3 linked regions of the Ovis aries genome follow. The protein of the gene in region 1 purifies or fractionates together with the protein of each later gene. This does not show direct contact. Links are inferred from orthologs where the notes say so. Each region holds a gene or a part of one and is shown on either strand. Other genes may lie near its edges.

Evidence for each region.
Region 2: the proteins of SUGT1 (region 1) and NOD1 purify together in Homo sapiens (affinity purification with western blotting; 3 studies listed by BioGRID and IntAct, with this or other methods). This does not show direct contact. The link is inferred for Ovis aries from reciprocal best matches to the Homo sapiens genes SUGT1 and NOD1.
Region 3: the proteins of SUGT1 (region 1) and RNF41 purify together in Homo sapiens (affinity purification with mass spectrometry; 3 studies listed by BioGRID and IntAct, with this or other methods). This does not show direct contact. The link is inferred for Ovis aries from reciprocal best matches to the Homo sapiens genes SUGT1 and RNF41.

Annotation. Positions count from the first base shown.
Region 1 is NC_056063.1:11,515,102-11,520,333, forward strand, and holds part of SUGT1 (protein SGT1 homolog), read right to left. Parts: intron 4,451-5,232; coding exon 4,360-4,450; intron 3,721-4,359; coding exon 3,651-3,720; intron 2,638-3,650; coding exon 2,567-2,637; intron 156-2,566; coding exon 102-155; intron 1-101. UniProt on the Homo sapiens protein: May play a role in ubiquitination and subsequent proteasomal degradation of target proteins.
Region 2 is NC_056057.1:67,354,665-67,359,990, reverse strand, and holds the start of NOD1 (nucleotide-binding oligomerization domain-containing protein 1), read right to left. Parts: upstream 4,037-5,326; 5' UTR 3,561-4,036; intron 1-3,560. UniProt on the Homo sapiens protein: Pattern recognition receptor (PRR) that detects bacterial peptidoglycan fragments and other danger signals and thus participates in both innate and adaptive immune responses.
Region 3 is NC_056056.1:163,320,480-163,325,811, reverse strand, and holds the start of RNF41 (E3 ubiquitin-protein ligase NRDP1), read right to left. Parts: upstream 3,627-5,332; 5' UTR 3,478-3,626; intron 2,984-3,477; exon of another isoform or gene 2,945-2,983; 5' UTR 2,832-2,944; intron 1,062-2,831; 5' UTR 877-1,061; intron 1-876. UniProt on the Homo sapiens protein: Acts as E3 ubiquitin-protein ligase and regulates the degradation of target proteins. Polyubiquitinates MYD88. Negatively regulates MYD88-dependent production of pro-inflammatory cytokines.

The sequences.
Region 1 (5,232 bases):
ATAGAACACACACTACTTAAATTATAAGTAATAAAGATCAAAACAAAAAAATGACATTGACTTTTTTAAACTGAAAGACCATGGGAAATCTGCACACTTACCATTCTGAGCTTCTTGACACCTTTTAATCCAAGCAATGAAATCAGCATCTGCACCTAGAAAGAACAAACTATAACAACACTCATCTGCACAACCTAACATACTCACTCAACAAATGCTGACTGCATACCTACTAGCTTACAAACAAGGTTCTAGAAACTATGGATCCAACAGTAAGTTAAGACAAAATCATCTGTCCTAATAGTGTGTAGCTATCCTTAATATTATAGCTACTAGTTAGGTTTAATATTTATTTTGTTCATCCCGAAGAATTCTGACTTGTAAAAAATCAGTTTTAACCAGTCAACCTTATTGGTTCCTAGATTCAGTAATCTCCATTTCTCCTCATCCCTTTCCTCTTAAAAGAGCTTCCTCTCACAACAAAATCACACCTGAATCAGATTCCTAATATGCAGTCAGTTGGGGGAGGACCCCAGAAGCCTCTGTCCACCTGCCTGCTGTCTAACGCAGTTGCTTATCCTATCTACTATTTCTTCAGCAGCTTTACTTATCATCATGCCTTCAACAACAAGAACCATCTTTATATTCTGCAGAGTTTTGTATCTCTAAGTATCTCCAAGTTCCTTGACAACCACTGACACTACATACAGTGAATCACAGTTCACTGCACAGACAGCAAGGCAAACATGTACATAAGCAAATTATTTCTGAAGACTCAGGGCAATGACAGTATCTAAAAAGTCATAGCATCTAATAAATTATAATGTTAAGAAAAATTATTAGAAGTGATCATAATAAAAGTTTACTAATTTAAGCTAACTGCAGGTATCGTTATTCTGAAAAACACCAAGTTTAAAATTTCTTAAAATGAAATTTTCTAATTCATTAATTTACAGACAGAATTCAACTATACAGGCCTTAAAATACATACACACACATTTTAGAGGTGAACATTTATATAAAAATTCTAAATGTGAAGAACCGATTATTCAAACTAATCAGTAAATAAGCTGATTCCTATCATATAAAGAGGGAAAAAGGTAATATGGAGTTAAAAATTTTTTACCCTAATAAAACGGAAGCTGAACAGTTTAACATAAGATTTTCCTGGAATTAAAAGATGAATTTGATTTTAAATTAAATATCCTCAACAGAAAGTAAACCAAAGAGCAGACACCCTCTTCTGAGGCCACCTCTGAAATAATTCTAGGATAAAAGTCAGTGGCATGATAATAAAGTATCAAGGAAGGAATTTAGGCAGGGAACTTTCTGTTGCTCTTAAAAAAAAAAAAGAAAAAGAAAAGAAATAGGGCTTAGAAATCTAAACATGAAGTGACTTATGTCTCATCAGGGTTTTCAAGTATGTAACAAGACACCAAGAAAACTGGACTCTAGAATTTGCGAAGTGTATACATGGTAACTTCGTAACTGAATAGCCCTATTATTCACATACCACGCTTGGGATAACCAAGTTTGAGAGTACCTCCTATTGCCTAGATCTCGTCTTTCCTAATTTGTAGGTTTTGTTTGCAAAGTTGGGCTTGTCACCCTTCTCAAGTAGATACACAGCAGAAAAGCAAATATTCAAAGCAGTATATATTTTATTGTATAATCATGTATGACTTTTGTATGAGGGTTTTCAACCTCAGCACTACTGACATCTGGGACCAGATGCTTCTGTTGTGGGCACTGTCTTGTTCAGGATGTTGAACAGCATCCCTCACGAGCTATCAATGATATACCTCCCATCTACCAGTCAAGAGAGTCAAAAATCAGTGCAGACACTCCAAACATCCCCCACAGAGGAAAACCATCCCCAGCTAGGAACTACCACCTTAGAGAACTGTGGTTAACACTCTGTCATAAGAGGGAGATAAAATGAGAGAACACAATTAAGACCATGTTGTCTATAATTATCTACGAGATTACTGACAACATTTTGTATTTTGAAGATTTTTTTTGATACTTGGCTTTTAACAAGTTCTATATATTATACATAGATATCCACACTGTTGGGATAATTTTCATCTATTTTTCTCAAAAAGACAGTTTAGAAATTCACAATATTCTCAAAGTTCCATGTTTCTTCTGTACCCTATCATACTTTACCCAAACTTACACTTCACCTCTCAATAAAAATCTTTCTTCTAAGACTTCCTTATCTCGGCAATCTGAATAACAACTTAAATAGACTTCAGAATGTGAGAGCAAGTTAAACTTCCACTTGTCCATTAGGAAAAACTAAAAAGCCAGACCAGTACTGGGAGGACACCGAGTGTTTAAACAGTTCTTTTGTTTCTAAGTTTTTCTGTGACTTAAATGCTAAGAAAGGCCAATTTAATCAAATTTTAAGTAAACTCAAACTCTGCAATCAACATGAAATGTCATTAAGAGAGAAAAAAGTGTTTCTATGATTAACTTTAGATTATACTAACAAGATTCAGCTATGGTATTTAAGATACACAGATATAATGGACTAGTTTACTAACATAATTATAATACTTACTATTTAATTTCTGTCCTTCTGTAAAAGTTTCTAGAGCAGCAGCATAGTTTTTTTCATGGTATTCACATATCCTGTATGAGCATATTAAAAACAAGCACATACATATAAGATCATGAAACATAGCTTTCTTTCTTAAAAAAAAAGTTTCTCTTCTTTTAAAAGAATTTAACCATGTTAATAAGCCAACAGATGTTCTAAAATACTCTACTGTAACATCTGTGTGTGTGTCAGTCGCTCAGTGGTGTCTGACTCTTTGTGACTCCATGAACTGTAGCCCGCCAGGCTCCTCTGTTCATGGGATTTGCAAGCAGGAATACTGGAGTGGGTTGCTACTTTCTTCTCCAGGGGATCTTCCTCACCCAAGGATTGAACCCAGGCTCCTGCACTGCAGGCAGATTCTTTACCATCTGAGTCACCAGGGTAACATCTAATTCCCATTAAAAATGTGGAACTCATTTCAGAAGGAATTTATTAATTATACATACTTGCTTATTCCAAAATATAGTTACACTAAGGAATTAAAGAAGCTTCCGACTCTTAGAATAAAGTTACACTTATTAATAGAAACAAGCTGGGATATAAAGGACACAGACACAGTCATCTTTAAGTGTAGTCTGTACAGCTTAGGTGAGAAATAGATGTTCTCTAGTCAGTTAAACACAGTAAATTTCAAATGATGACACAAAAAAGGGATTTGAAATCATTCAGTTTCATCTATACCCTGCAGTTACTTCAATCATCACTATTTTAAACTACACACACACATACAAACTGTATCTCATTACATACTGCAGTTAATAAAACAGAAGTATGAAATATACCAAAAATTGAATCCTATCTCAGCTATAAAATGTATAGACACAGAGCTTACTATTTATATAAAGTTCACAGGGAGGGTAAGTTCAGGATGAGGGGACACATGTATACCTATGACTGATTCATACTGATGTATGGCAAAAACCATTACAATATTGTAAAGTAATTATCTTCCAACTAAAATAAATATTTTGGGGGGGGGAACTTACAATAAATTCATTTAACTATATATAGTCCTGACCCCACAGGAAGAGTAGTTGCTGCCTACCCCTTTCTCAGCAGAGCAGTGGAACTATTTGGATTAAGTTCAAGCGATTTTTTTGCATCAGCAACAGCATCTGCAGATGAAAAAGTTTTTTGGTCAGTTACTTATGGATCCTAAGAAATACTACACACAAAATTTGAATTAATTTTTAAGTTTTCAAGCTAGCGAAATGGACAAATGACTTTAAAATAAGAAAAGCTAATCTGAGATAAAATTACCTTCATACATTCCTATTGACCAAATCTTCAACCTCATTTCCTAATGAATAAAGCTCTGTATCACAAAGTCCAGATAATTTCGTTAACATCATTCACATTGTTTGACTCAAGGTATTTACTTTTTCCCTACTCAGATTATCTATCCAGAATAATTAAAATTACAGAATATTGAATACATTTTTTCATAAAAAATAGAAGAGAATTCATTCAAATGCTCTGTAAATTAGTAAATGTGATGCTATCCTTTATTAGCACATCCAAAACCAAAAATGAAATCTTACAAATTCTACACCCACTGCGGAAAGAATGGACAACTGTAAAATTTAAATGAGTGATGCGCAACATAATGCTTGTCATATTTTGGCTACTTCACCTTGCATGAAAGATCAAGTTAAAAGTCCTGGAAGATAACCTCTATTTTATTTGATTCACTGTATCTTGGGCAAAGTGTGTAAGTTACTTATGGAGACAATATACTTTGTAAGGAAAGTTACCACTGTAATTCCCAAGAAGAATGTGACAGTAAGCTCTTTGACAGTAATACTGTGCATCATCTGGTTTCTGCTCCAAAGCCTTAGTCAGCTCCTACAAATACAAACATGCTGAGTGTCAGTAAATGTTTTTTAAAAGTCACTGAACTCTAATTAAACATGATCTTTAATAAAATAACCTATTATCACAAGCTATTTGGAGGAAAGATAACAGGGAAACAAGCTTGGAGCCTTTCTATGCAAGAGGATCAATATCCCCTCTTCTCCCCTTGAAGGTCCACAATCGAATGTAATATCTATGCAAAGCACTTAGCAGTTTCCAGCCTACAGTAAGAACTCAATAAATGGTAATTATTATCACCTCATTTATTCTGAAGAGCTTAGTTGATATACATTGACCATCACTGATTTTCTCCTTCTAATGTGGAGAAGATTCAAAGACCATGTAGAATTTAAGATCCCTAGAAAACGTGAAGCTGTCCAATAATTTTTAAGAACTGAAAGTTAAATCTAGAGCTCAGGAGGTTAATGGAACCAATAAATACATAAGCAAGCTTACCTGGCCCTCTCCTATCCTCTTGTCAAAGGCCTAAGAAATTACAACATTCTGTCAAAAGCCCAGCCAGATACAGTATCTCATAGGTAGCTACTATCAACCGATCAAGAATTAACAGAACAATTAAAACTTTTGCCACTCTGGGCAGTCACAGTATGTGTTAGCTGGAACAATAATGATGCGAGAAGAGAGAGCATGATCAGTGAGGCCAAGGACAAAAGCAGGCAGACAGGAAGGCTCTGATCCAGCAGCCATATACCCACACATCCTAGGGATTCTGGCAGCTTTCTTAGAAGCAGAATTACTTCAACAGCCACACA
Region 2 (5,326 bases), on another chromosome or scaffold:
GAAGAACTGACTCATTGGAAAAGACCTTGATGCTGGGAAAGACTGAAGGCAGGAGAAGGGGACAATAGAGAATGAGATGGTTGGATGGCATCACCAAGTCGATGGACATGAGTTTGACCAAGCTCTGGGAATTGGTGATGGACAGGGAAGCCTGGTGTGCTGCAGTCTATGGGGTCACAAAGAGTTGGATACAACTTAGCAACTGAACAACAACATCAGTTCAGTTGCTCAGTCATGACTGACTCTTTGTGACCCCAGGGACTGCAGCACACCAGGCTTTCCTGTCCTCCACTCTCCTGGAGTTTGCTCAGACTCATGTCCATTGAGTTGGTGATTCTAACCATCTCATCCTCTGCCACCTTCTTCTTCCTTTGCCTTCAATCTTTCCCAGAATCAGGGTCTTTCTCAATGAGTTCGCTGGGCCAGTTGATCTCAGAGCCACTGAAGTTGAATTGAAACCTCAAACTATAGTTTAATTTAAAGGAAAATGACTGCTCAGCAAAACAAATAACAATGCAACAGATTACTAGAGAGCACTGTAAGTGGAAGTTTAACACAAAATTGCCTTGCTGGTTCTATAGAAGCAGATCCCTTGTTAGGGCATCATGCCCCTTCAGAGGGCCAAGGAAAGACCACCACAGAGTAATAGCATCCTAGACTCAACAGCTCCAGAGGCAGGGAGGGTGACTAAGGGGAGGGAGGGTGGCAAGCTTGTCCTGGCCAACTTTGCATTAAAGTCTCTGCCCACAGTTTGGTCTGTGGTGGGTTTTAGATAAAACACAACAAGAAGAATTCAACCCATAAAGTCTTGCTTTGACAAACTTTCCAGCACTGGGTAAAAAACATTAATTAATTGAAATGGGCAGTGATTACTCATCTCTTACTAGGAGAGCCAAGTTTGGGGGGCGGGGGAAACACGTCACTGAGTAATGACGCACCAAAGAATTTTTCTTGAAACAACCTTCCTTCCTTCTAACTTTGGTCTATAGATGGATGAAAGGAAGCCCTTTGTATGAGATTCAACTGACTCTGCCCAAAAGATAAAAGAAAACAGGACTTTCAGAAACCTCCAAGATACCTAAAAGATGACAAAAATTCAGCAAAAGTATAAATCTTCTCTTTTAAAATTTCATCTTGCCTCAAACCCCCAAAATAGAAGAATCATAGAAGGAACTGGTAATTTAAACTTCAAATCCTAAATTTAAGTCTTAGATACTGAATAAATACTGAACTTTTTTTTATAAAAGGAGACAAGAATTTAAGATTCTTATTAGGCAAGTATCAGGGACAGTGCTGTAAAAGCACTTGATTTTTATATCAACATTAAATCATTATTTATAGTATTTTTACTGTTTAATCTAAAATAAACAGTGCTGCTGTTACTGTCAGAAGATCCACACACACAGTGGAACTAAGGTGAAAGATTCAGGATGCCCCCACTGCCAACTGCAGGATGTAGGTTTTCCCTTCCCCAAATTTCTGACTTCTTGTTCATCTAAGAAGGATTCATTGTCCCTAGGCCAAGAGTTAGTAGCAAAACAGGTACGACTGGGGCACAGCCCAAGGATGCTGACAGCACAAAAGTCACGTGTATGTGCCCATGTCAATTCTGAAACCCTGTAAATGGCCCGGCTACAGGGGAGCTCATATGTATATATGTATATACATATATGCATGTGTGAAAATATATATATATATATATATATATTGCAGTAGAATAGAGGAAGTCTCAAACTTAAGGACCACTTTGTCATTCCTATCACGTGGAGTAAAACTGTATTCCAGAGCCATTAATAAGCCCTACTGAGCAACAGGCTGGTGGCCTGAAATTCCAGACCTTAAACTACACAGTGACCGAGGAGGAGTACAAACCCCTCTCCAGAGCAAGGCAGGAAAAGAAAAAGGGAATGGAGTTTCAAGGGAGACAACTGCTGCACACTCTCTTCACTGCGGCTGTACTAAGTAAACAACTGTTGAACACAAATCACCACTACAGTGGCTAATAACTGCTACTGATGGAGCAGCAACCTGGCCTGCCAGGCATTTGATACACATTATCTCATTCAGGACAGAGCTACTATTTTTCCCACTTCACAAGAAAGAAAATAGGGGTTCAGGGAGATCATGCAAGTATCACAGAAGTGACAGAATCTGAATTTGGGCCAGGGTTTGATGGGCTCCAAAGCTTGAATTTAAACCTCTTCATTATGCAAAACCACAATCCACTCTTCTTGGACCCTCTAGAAGCCCTCTCTTCTCCTAGGCTGTTGTTTATTTCAAATCCACCTTTCTTATTTGCCCCACACATGCAGTAGAAATCTGTGTCTTGTCCAGGGGCCCTGGTTGCTGATATTAGCGCTTTCTGCCCCCAGCACATACCCTTGGGTGCTAAGAGGGTAAATTTTGTGCACTCCTAATATCCAAGTTCCTTGGATACGGAAGTCTCAGATAGGAGGCTTTTAGCAGATACAAACCCGACCCTGCAGCAAGCGCACTTGCTGCTGCTAAGTCGCTTCAGTTGTGGCCGACTCTGTGCGACCCCACAGACGCCAGCCCACCAGGCTCCCCCGTCCCTGGGATTCTCCAGGCAAGAACACTGGGGTGGGCTGCCATTTCCTTCTCCAATTCATGAAAGTGAAAAGTGAAAAGTGAAATTCAAGTCGCTCAGACGTGTCCGACTCTCAGCGACCCCATGGACTGCAGCCTACCAGGCTCCTCTGTCCATGGGATTCTCCAGGCAAGAGTACTGGAGTGGGGTGCCATTGCCTTCTCCGAAGCACACCTAACTTCACCCTTAAAGCAGAAATCCCAGAAGCTGTCAACGGGTTTACTGGCTTCCCTTCATTTAACTTTAAATGACAGTAACAGAGGCATTTCCCAGAAAGCAGAACCAGCGAGGCATCATGATCTGGCAAAGCTTCTGTGTTTCACAATATGCCAAAAGACTGTGTGCATAGCTCAGGCAGTATTCCGGCGAAGCTGCCAAGTCTTGTCTCACTTCCCCTCTCTGCGTCTCGGGAAACCAGAGGGAGGGCCACTGCCCCTTCCCCAGGGCCACGCGGGACACTGGGTACAGCCGGATCTGTCGCAGGCTGGACTCTTATCAAAGCCCCTGCCCGCCTTTCCACCCTCTCTTGGCAACCACTCTGGTCGTTGGTGCTCAACTCTGCCCACACAGTGGAATCAGCTGAGAAGTGTAAACGATACAGACCCCCACCCCCTCCACTGCCCCAGGGGTTCTGATGGATCCAGCCTGGGCATCTGAATTTTACAAGCACCCCAGGTGATTCTACAGTGCAGGCAGGACTGAGATGCTCTGTCTGGACCACCATGGGATAAACGATTCCCCTAACGCTGAAGTTCACCCCCCTGAACTTTCGTGGTTCCACAAACACCGGGTTTCTTCTCCTCCTTGATCCACCCGGAGCTCTTCCAGCGCAGCTTTGAATTCCTCCCGCTCGCAGGACGCCGCCTCTCCGCGCCGCCTCCTCCGCCGCGGCGCCCAGGACCCCCAGAAAACGTGTGCCCCGAGCGACCCACCCCCTGGCGCTGGGACTTACTTGGTAGCCAGGTGTGGAGACCTCGCGGTACTGGGGAGCCAGAGCTGGAGTCGGGTGCGCCGGGAGCGCGCGGGCGGGAACTCGGAGGTTGGGGAGCGCCGACCCCGGAGCGCGCGGCGCGGCAACTTCACCCGCTGCAGGGAAGGAACAGCCGCCGCGCGGGCGGGAACGCGAACTGTCACGGCCGTAACGACGGCCGCGCCCCGAACCTCCGCGGCCTGCGCGAAAAGGCCGAGGCGAGCGAGGCGGACGCGGGCGGCCCGGAGCGGCTGCGCGCAGAAGGTGGCCCTGGGCAGCCTGGAGGGGCAGTCCCTGCCCCAGCAGAGTGGCCAGGCCACTGCGCGGGTAGGCCTGAGAGCTCGCCAGAGGTGACCCAGCGCCTACTGGTGGTGCCAGCTCGGTCCCTTCCGCTGCGAGCTCAGGCCTGTCCCGCTAGAAGTGCTAGCCCGGAGTCCGCAACCAGAGGCAGCTGCTTCAAAGCACGACGGTGGAAACGCCTGTTAGAACACGCGCTCCCGCGTGAAACTCCTGTTAACACGTGACACTTGCTCCCGGATGAAAAGCAGCTCCAAACAATCAAACCTTTACGACAGAGCATATACTTCGATATGGACTTTTAAAAAATCTAAGGTTTTCTTCCTGCCCTTAAATCTCTTCTTGGCGGTGTACATTGTATACTGTTAACACTGTGATGACCTGTCAGGGAGTTTGTAACATGCTAGCTAATACATTTCCCAGTAAGATGTGTTTTTTAAAACATTGTAAATGGAGAAGGTCTACATAAGGCGTAACGATGCTATAAATGAGTTTCACACTGAATAAAATACATTCAATCATGTAACCCCATATGCTCATGAATATTTAGATTTCCAAAAAAGGCTGCCTTCTGAGAAGTTTGTTCATAACTCAAAAGTGAAACTTTGCAAAGGTAACACTGGTGGGAGACGTGCAAACTTGTCAAACCTAATATAGAGACGCTAAAGATACCAATTTTCCTTCACGTAAATTTATCCTTACATGAACTTCCGGTAGAAAAATTGCAAAATTTGTCCTTTCTTCTAGGATTTTGGATTTTATCTTCCATATCTTTTAAATACTCACATTTTCTATATCCTGCTTCTCTGGCTGCACTTTCAGTTAACTTCTTCAGTTCTTTCCATTAATCAATTATTTTTGTGGTTATTTGAATCTGCTGTGTTACTGGTCTTCACTAGGTGGAATAGTCCCTTCAGGCCCCCTATAATGTTCAAGTCCTACACCTGGAACCTATGAATATGGCAAAGGAGAATTAAAGTAGCAGATGGAATTAAGGGTGCAAATCAGCTGACCTTGAGATGGAAAGATTAATCATGGTCTATTGGTATGGGCTGGATGCAATCACAGGAGTCCTTATAAATGGAAGAGGGAGGCCAAGAAGGAGAGCTAAAAGAGAGAGCAACTTGAGAAGGACTGGCTCTGATGTTGCTGGTTTTGAAGAGGAAGAATGGAGCTATGAGCCAAGAAATTGAGAGTGGCTTCTAGAAGCTGCAGAAAACAAGGAAATGGGTTCTCTAGCAGGGCTCCAGAAGGAATACAGTCCTGCTGACACTTTGATTTCAGCCCAGTGAGACCCATTTTAGACTATTGAACTCCAGAACCATAATAAAAACTGTGTTGCTCTAGGCCACTAAATTTGTGGCAACTCATTACAACAGCAATAGGCAACCAATACATCATCCACTTAAGTTCTTAATTTCAACAATATTTATTTTCCAAGAGTATTTTGG
Region 3 (5,332 bases), on another chromosome or scaffold:
GGCAACTCTCCTGACTTTATAAATGAAAGAAAGTGGTCTTTTTCATCTATGCAATAGAACCCTTAAAGTGAAATCACTCCCTCTCTTACAGAACTGAGCTCTTAGAACTCAGTTTCCTCATTGCCTCTAAGGTTCCATTTAATTCCAGAATTCTGTGATCCAGACTAGATTTAGCACAGGGCATTTTTAAAGTCAGGCTTCTTCAGCACACTTTAATTGGTTAAATTTGAAAGACAATCCAGAGGGGGACTTCCTTGGTGGTCCAGTGGCTAAGACTCCATGCTCCCGATGCAGGGGCCCTGAGTTCAATACCTGGTCTGGGAACTAGATCCCACATACTGCAACTAAGATTCGGCACACCCAAATAAACAAATATTTTTTAAAAATAAATAAATAAAAAAGCATCCAGAGGTCACACAATCCTTCAAAAACTCCCAACTAACAACTCTAACACCTCGAGTGAGGCCCACCAGGCCTCAAAGATCAGCAAGGACCCCCCCACACACACACCTTGGTCATCAGCACCAAGCACTATTTGTGTGGCTACCCCAATCTCATCTTCATGTAACAGACATGTAAAAGAAACAGCAAGCACAATCCTTGTCCTCAAACAAATGTGCAGGCTTGAATTCAATGAGCACACAAGATATAAAACATACAAAAAATAGTAAAATTTAACAATTTATCAACAAGTGAAAGTTAATAGTTCATGTAAGACATAAGTATACAATGAAGAAAAGACTGACGTGGGTTAATCACAGAAAAGTTTATGCATAAAAGAGTTTTGAGAATCAGGTTTTCAAGAGCAGAAGGGATCCAGATTAGCAGAGAAGAGGGTTGAAGCCCAGAAGGGGGTTCTGAATCAATGCTTTTTACCTTCCAAGTGTTGGGGGGCAGGTTCCCTGTTCACAAGGCTCCGACCCCCTGATGCCTCCACTCAGTGCCACTCAGGAGACGCTCCCAGTAACCCATCTTGTTGGCTATTCTCCGACTGAGTCTTCCCTCCTAGTAACAAGCTCCATCGCCAAGGGGATGGATGTGATGTCACAATCGGGAGCACTCTATTAATAGGAACAAGGAAGAAAAAGGTGAGTCAGGAGCACTACCTGCACTTGGCAGTGAAACTAGACAGACTTGGATCTGACGGTTGGTTGAGGAGGACAAGACAACTCCACTGAGAGCTACAGGTTTCAGGGTTAGGCACACAGGCTACTCTGTAAGGAGTGAGGTCATCTGCTAAGGAATCACACACCCGGGCCAAGGGATTCAAACACAGCTGAGGTGGGGAGAGAAAGGGACAAGAAGCAAGGCAGGGAAGAGGAGCTGTTTGAGACAGAAAAGATTATTTTATTCAGTGCATACAACTGCAAGGAATGCCAGCGAATCCAAAGCTGTGGCTACATAACACAGAGAGCCATGATGCCTTACGTGCACAGGATGGTGCTTTAGTGTTTCCAAAGTGCTTTCACAGAAAGTATTTCATATAAAAAGAATTCTGTCCTACTGTCCACTCAGAAAATACTGTTTCACAAGGAGAAGATACTCGAGAATATTGGTGTAGGTGTAATTCTACTTTCAAGTCCGGAAATATTCCTGAAGGGATCAGGCTTTTTTTTAAAAAAATGAAGAGGCAGTCAATCAGGAAATTACTCCAGGACAGACAACTGGGAAGACCAAACTCTCATTACTAAAAGGATGAAACCAAGTAGAGGGAGACAAAGCTTCAGAGGCAGAACAGAAACTACTCAAATTCCTTTCCTCACCTTCACATCGATCAATATTAAGGACTATGTTAGGAAGGATGACAATTTTTATCCGTAAAACAGAGACCATCTCATCCGGAGTCTGGTACATGGGCTCATTAGTTTACTATGCTCAGCAGCCATAACACGTTAGTGCAGTATTTAAAAACTAATCAGAGGATAAAGGTACCAGGCCAGGTCCACTTTCTCCTCACTGTAGTTGGGGGCAGTAGCGGGGAGTTGATAGGTCTCTCCCATCCATAATACAGAGGAGCGTACAATGCTTCTTCCATTTTGACAATACTGTATTTCCCAACAGCCTGGTGTCCACCCTTGAACCCCAAGAAAAGCTTCCAGGAATCAGTGCTATGTTCAGTCTTTTAGAGACAAGTTCCAGGCTAACAGCTGTCCATCCTGGGAAAAAATATCTCCTCTCACAACTCTCTTGACCAGAACAAAACAGGGTTTTTCAACACAAAGGGGCACCTGGAGTCAGGAGACCTGGATTCTGGTCCCTGCTCTGCCAGCTGTCCGACTTTTAACAAGCCATGTATCCCTTCTGCAGTTTTCAGTTTCTTCACCTGTCAAGCAGGGAAAATGATAACTGACTTATCTATCTTACATATTGTCCAGGAAAATCAAATGACATAATAAATATGAAAGCATACTGAATACTACTATTCATACCACTATTAGTACAAACACCATGAGGTATTTGTAGCAATAGAATGCAAAATAAATTTAGAGTTCCGAGGGTCCATGAGGATATACTTGAAAGAAGCTTGTTTCTTCTTTTCTATCCAGGTGCAGCCACAAAGTCGGCTGGACACACAGGGCAGTAACATTATTGCATCACTCAGATTCCCTACCATCCCTATCTGGGGAAAACTAGCAGCCTGCAACAATATCAGCTTCTTGCTCTATTGTCAGACTAAAACCACCTGTACGGGAAGGGATTAGACTATCACAGTCCAGTCCCCAAGAACAGTGGTTCAGTGGTCTCATTAACAGCTGCATTTGCTACTAGATGGAACGAAGTCAGTTTCTGAATGAAGATGCCTGTCAGTCCCTCAAGAGAAACACTCTCACCCCTCTCAGCTTTCTGCTCCTTCTCCAGCTCCCTCCTTCCCAGTCCTCAATTTCCTCTGCGTTCTGGCTTGGAGAAGGCTTTCCGGTGTGTGAAGCCTGTGAAGAGGGACCGGCTGCAAACCCAGGGCAGGGATGTAAGGAATGTGAGATTCCTACATAGAGGGGTGGGAGGGAGAGAGGGGAAGGAATGGAGGAGGAAGACAAGGCTGCCAAAGACAAGGCATGGGAGAGGAGCCAAGCTATGGCGCTTCGAGGGCGGGGGTTCAGGTTCCGCGGCCCCTGCCCAGGCTGGCCCTCAGAATGTTCCCTCCCTCCGCTCCCGGCCTGTCAATCATTGCCTATTTAAACACCACGCTGTTCCCTCAAGTCCCCTCCTCCCTGTCCTCCGGCCAGCCCAGGCCCCCTCCTGCACTTTTTAAGGCTCCCCCATTCCAATGGATCACCCCAACAACCCACCCTCCGGCGCCCCTTTATCACCTCTGGACTCCTCCCTATTGCTGCTCCCTTCCTCCATTTTTCATCTTTACTCTCATCCCTTCTCCTGACCTCCAATATCTCGAACCCCCGCCTCAATCCCCCTGGGACATCGCCCCCTCCCTCCCACACCCTCCCTTTAAGTGGGATCGCGCGCAGGCGCCGTACGCACCGCCCTGGAAGCGGTCTGGACTCTGTACCCGCAGCGGCCGAGAGACAGCCCGAGTGCCGGGTCCCCAGCCTTTTCTGGGAGGGGAAGGGGAAAGGGAAGAAGACGCGAGAGGGTTCCGACCACTCTCCGCCGTGTGGGACGGAACCTTTGCCCCGCCCACCGCTGCTACGCAACCCGGCGGAAGCCCGTCACCAAACTCCGCCTCTTTGTTTAACTCGGTCCTGGACTAGAAACCACGAGCAGCCAACGAGGAGAGTGAAGGCTAGCCAGGCCTCCGCTCTAGACCGGAAGTCTTTATGGTCCCAGGGAGAACTAGATAGCCATTTGGGAGGGAGGACTCTATGTTCTTCCCAGCGTGACCATCAGGGGCTGAGCAGGAGGCCGATTCTCCAGGAGCGCGAGGCTTCGCTTTGGAGGGGTGCACGTGTTCGTGCTCTAAAGCTGATGCGACTTGGTGCGAGATCGTCGATAGTAGGCTGGCCTGCAGTGACCTGCCGTCTCCCCGGCCCCTCTCCCGTTTCCAGAGCCGTGGTCAGCATCCCGGAGCCTCCTGATCTTATGACTCATAGTCATGGGAGTGGATATGTAGTCAACAAGGCGACCACTGGGTGGGGAATGGGGGAGTGTCTGACCGGAAAACTTTGATCTATGGTTGCCCGCTTCCCTCCCAGTCTCACTCCCGCCGTATTTACGTCGGCCTTCGGAGCACTCGTATAGTTGCCTGAAACACACCAGGGGACAGAAGGGAGATAAAAATGTCCCTCTTCCCGGGTTGTGGTTTGCTTTCCTTAAGGTACAACACCGTGGCTGGGGGTGTGGGCGGGAAAGAACTTGAGCTCCGAGGAAAGTCAAGGTGGAGCCTAAAGCCCTCTAGAAGAAGGTAAGGGATTGGTTAAGCAAACCAAGGCATTACAATTGCATGGCCTCTTAGGCTAATCTGATAATAAGCAGTATTTTTTTTTTTTTACCGATGTTCGCTAGGCAAATAGTAACGCACATGTATGTACATTGTTTGTATATATAATTGGTTTATACGGAATACTACAGAGCTAGCTACATTTTGTAGACTATGTATCAAGTCTCAAAGGGAACTAAAGGTTCAGCCCTCTTCTTTTTAGTCCTCAGAATCCTGAGGTCTAGGGATTGAGTACTTCAGGAACAGTTGCCTTTCGGACTGTGAGAGGAACTGGGGCTCTCTGAGCCCCAGATTCCATTATTTCCAAGGGGTAAGGAGTGAGGCTGCCAATTGTCTGTCTCTGGTGTGAATGCTACTTTTTCCAGAGACCTTGACCAAGCTGGTTACTGCATTAAACTTGAGGGCCCCAAGTCAGAAATAACGATGAGGGTTAGAGCAGTTGGAGAAGAGGAGGAGACTGCTTGTTTTGTGCTGGACACTGCTTTTTACATGTGCTAGACACTGCTGCTTCTCGTCTGCAAAATGGAATCACATATTTAAGAACTGTCGAGTAAAAAAGTGAAGTGATGAGCTTGTTTTTTATGCTTTTGTCCGCTGGATTCCAAAAAACCTTTGGTCCTATTTCCACTGTCTCACGACTAGGAGAAAATTTTGGAGAAAGTATCTTGGTTCTTGCGCCTAGTCAAGTGGAGGAAAATTGGGACCTGAGGCGCCCCCTGGTGGTCTTTATTATTCTTTGCGCGGTCAACCCTCCTTTAATACCTAAAATCCCACCCCTTTCGCGGCGCGTGAATCTCGAATCCCGATTGGCCGGGTGGGGACCCGCGGCGGGACGCAGGGGGGGGCGAGCTGGGGCAGTGCTGATTGGCTGGAGGAGGCCGGCCGGGGAAAACTTCCGGGAATGTTCTTACTCCTGCGTTCCATTGGTCCGCATCCGGC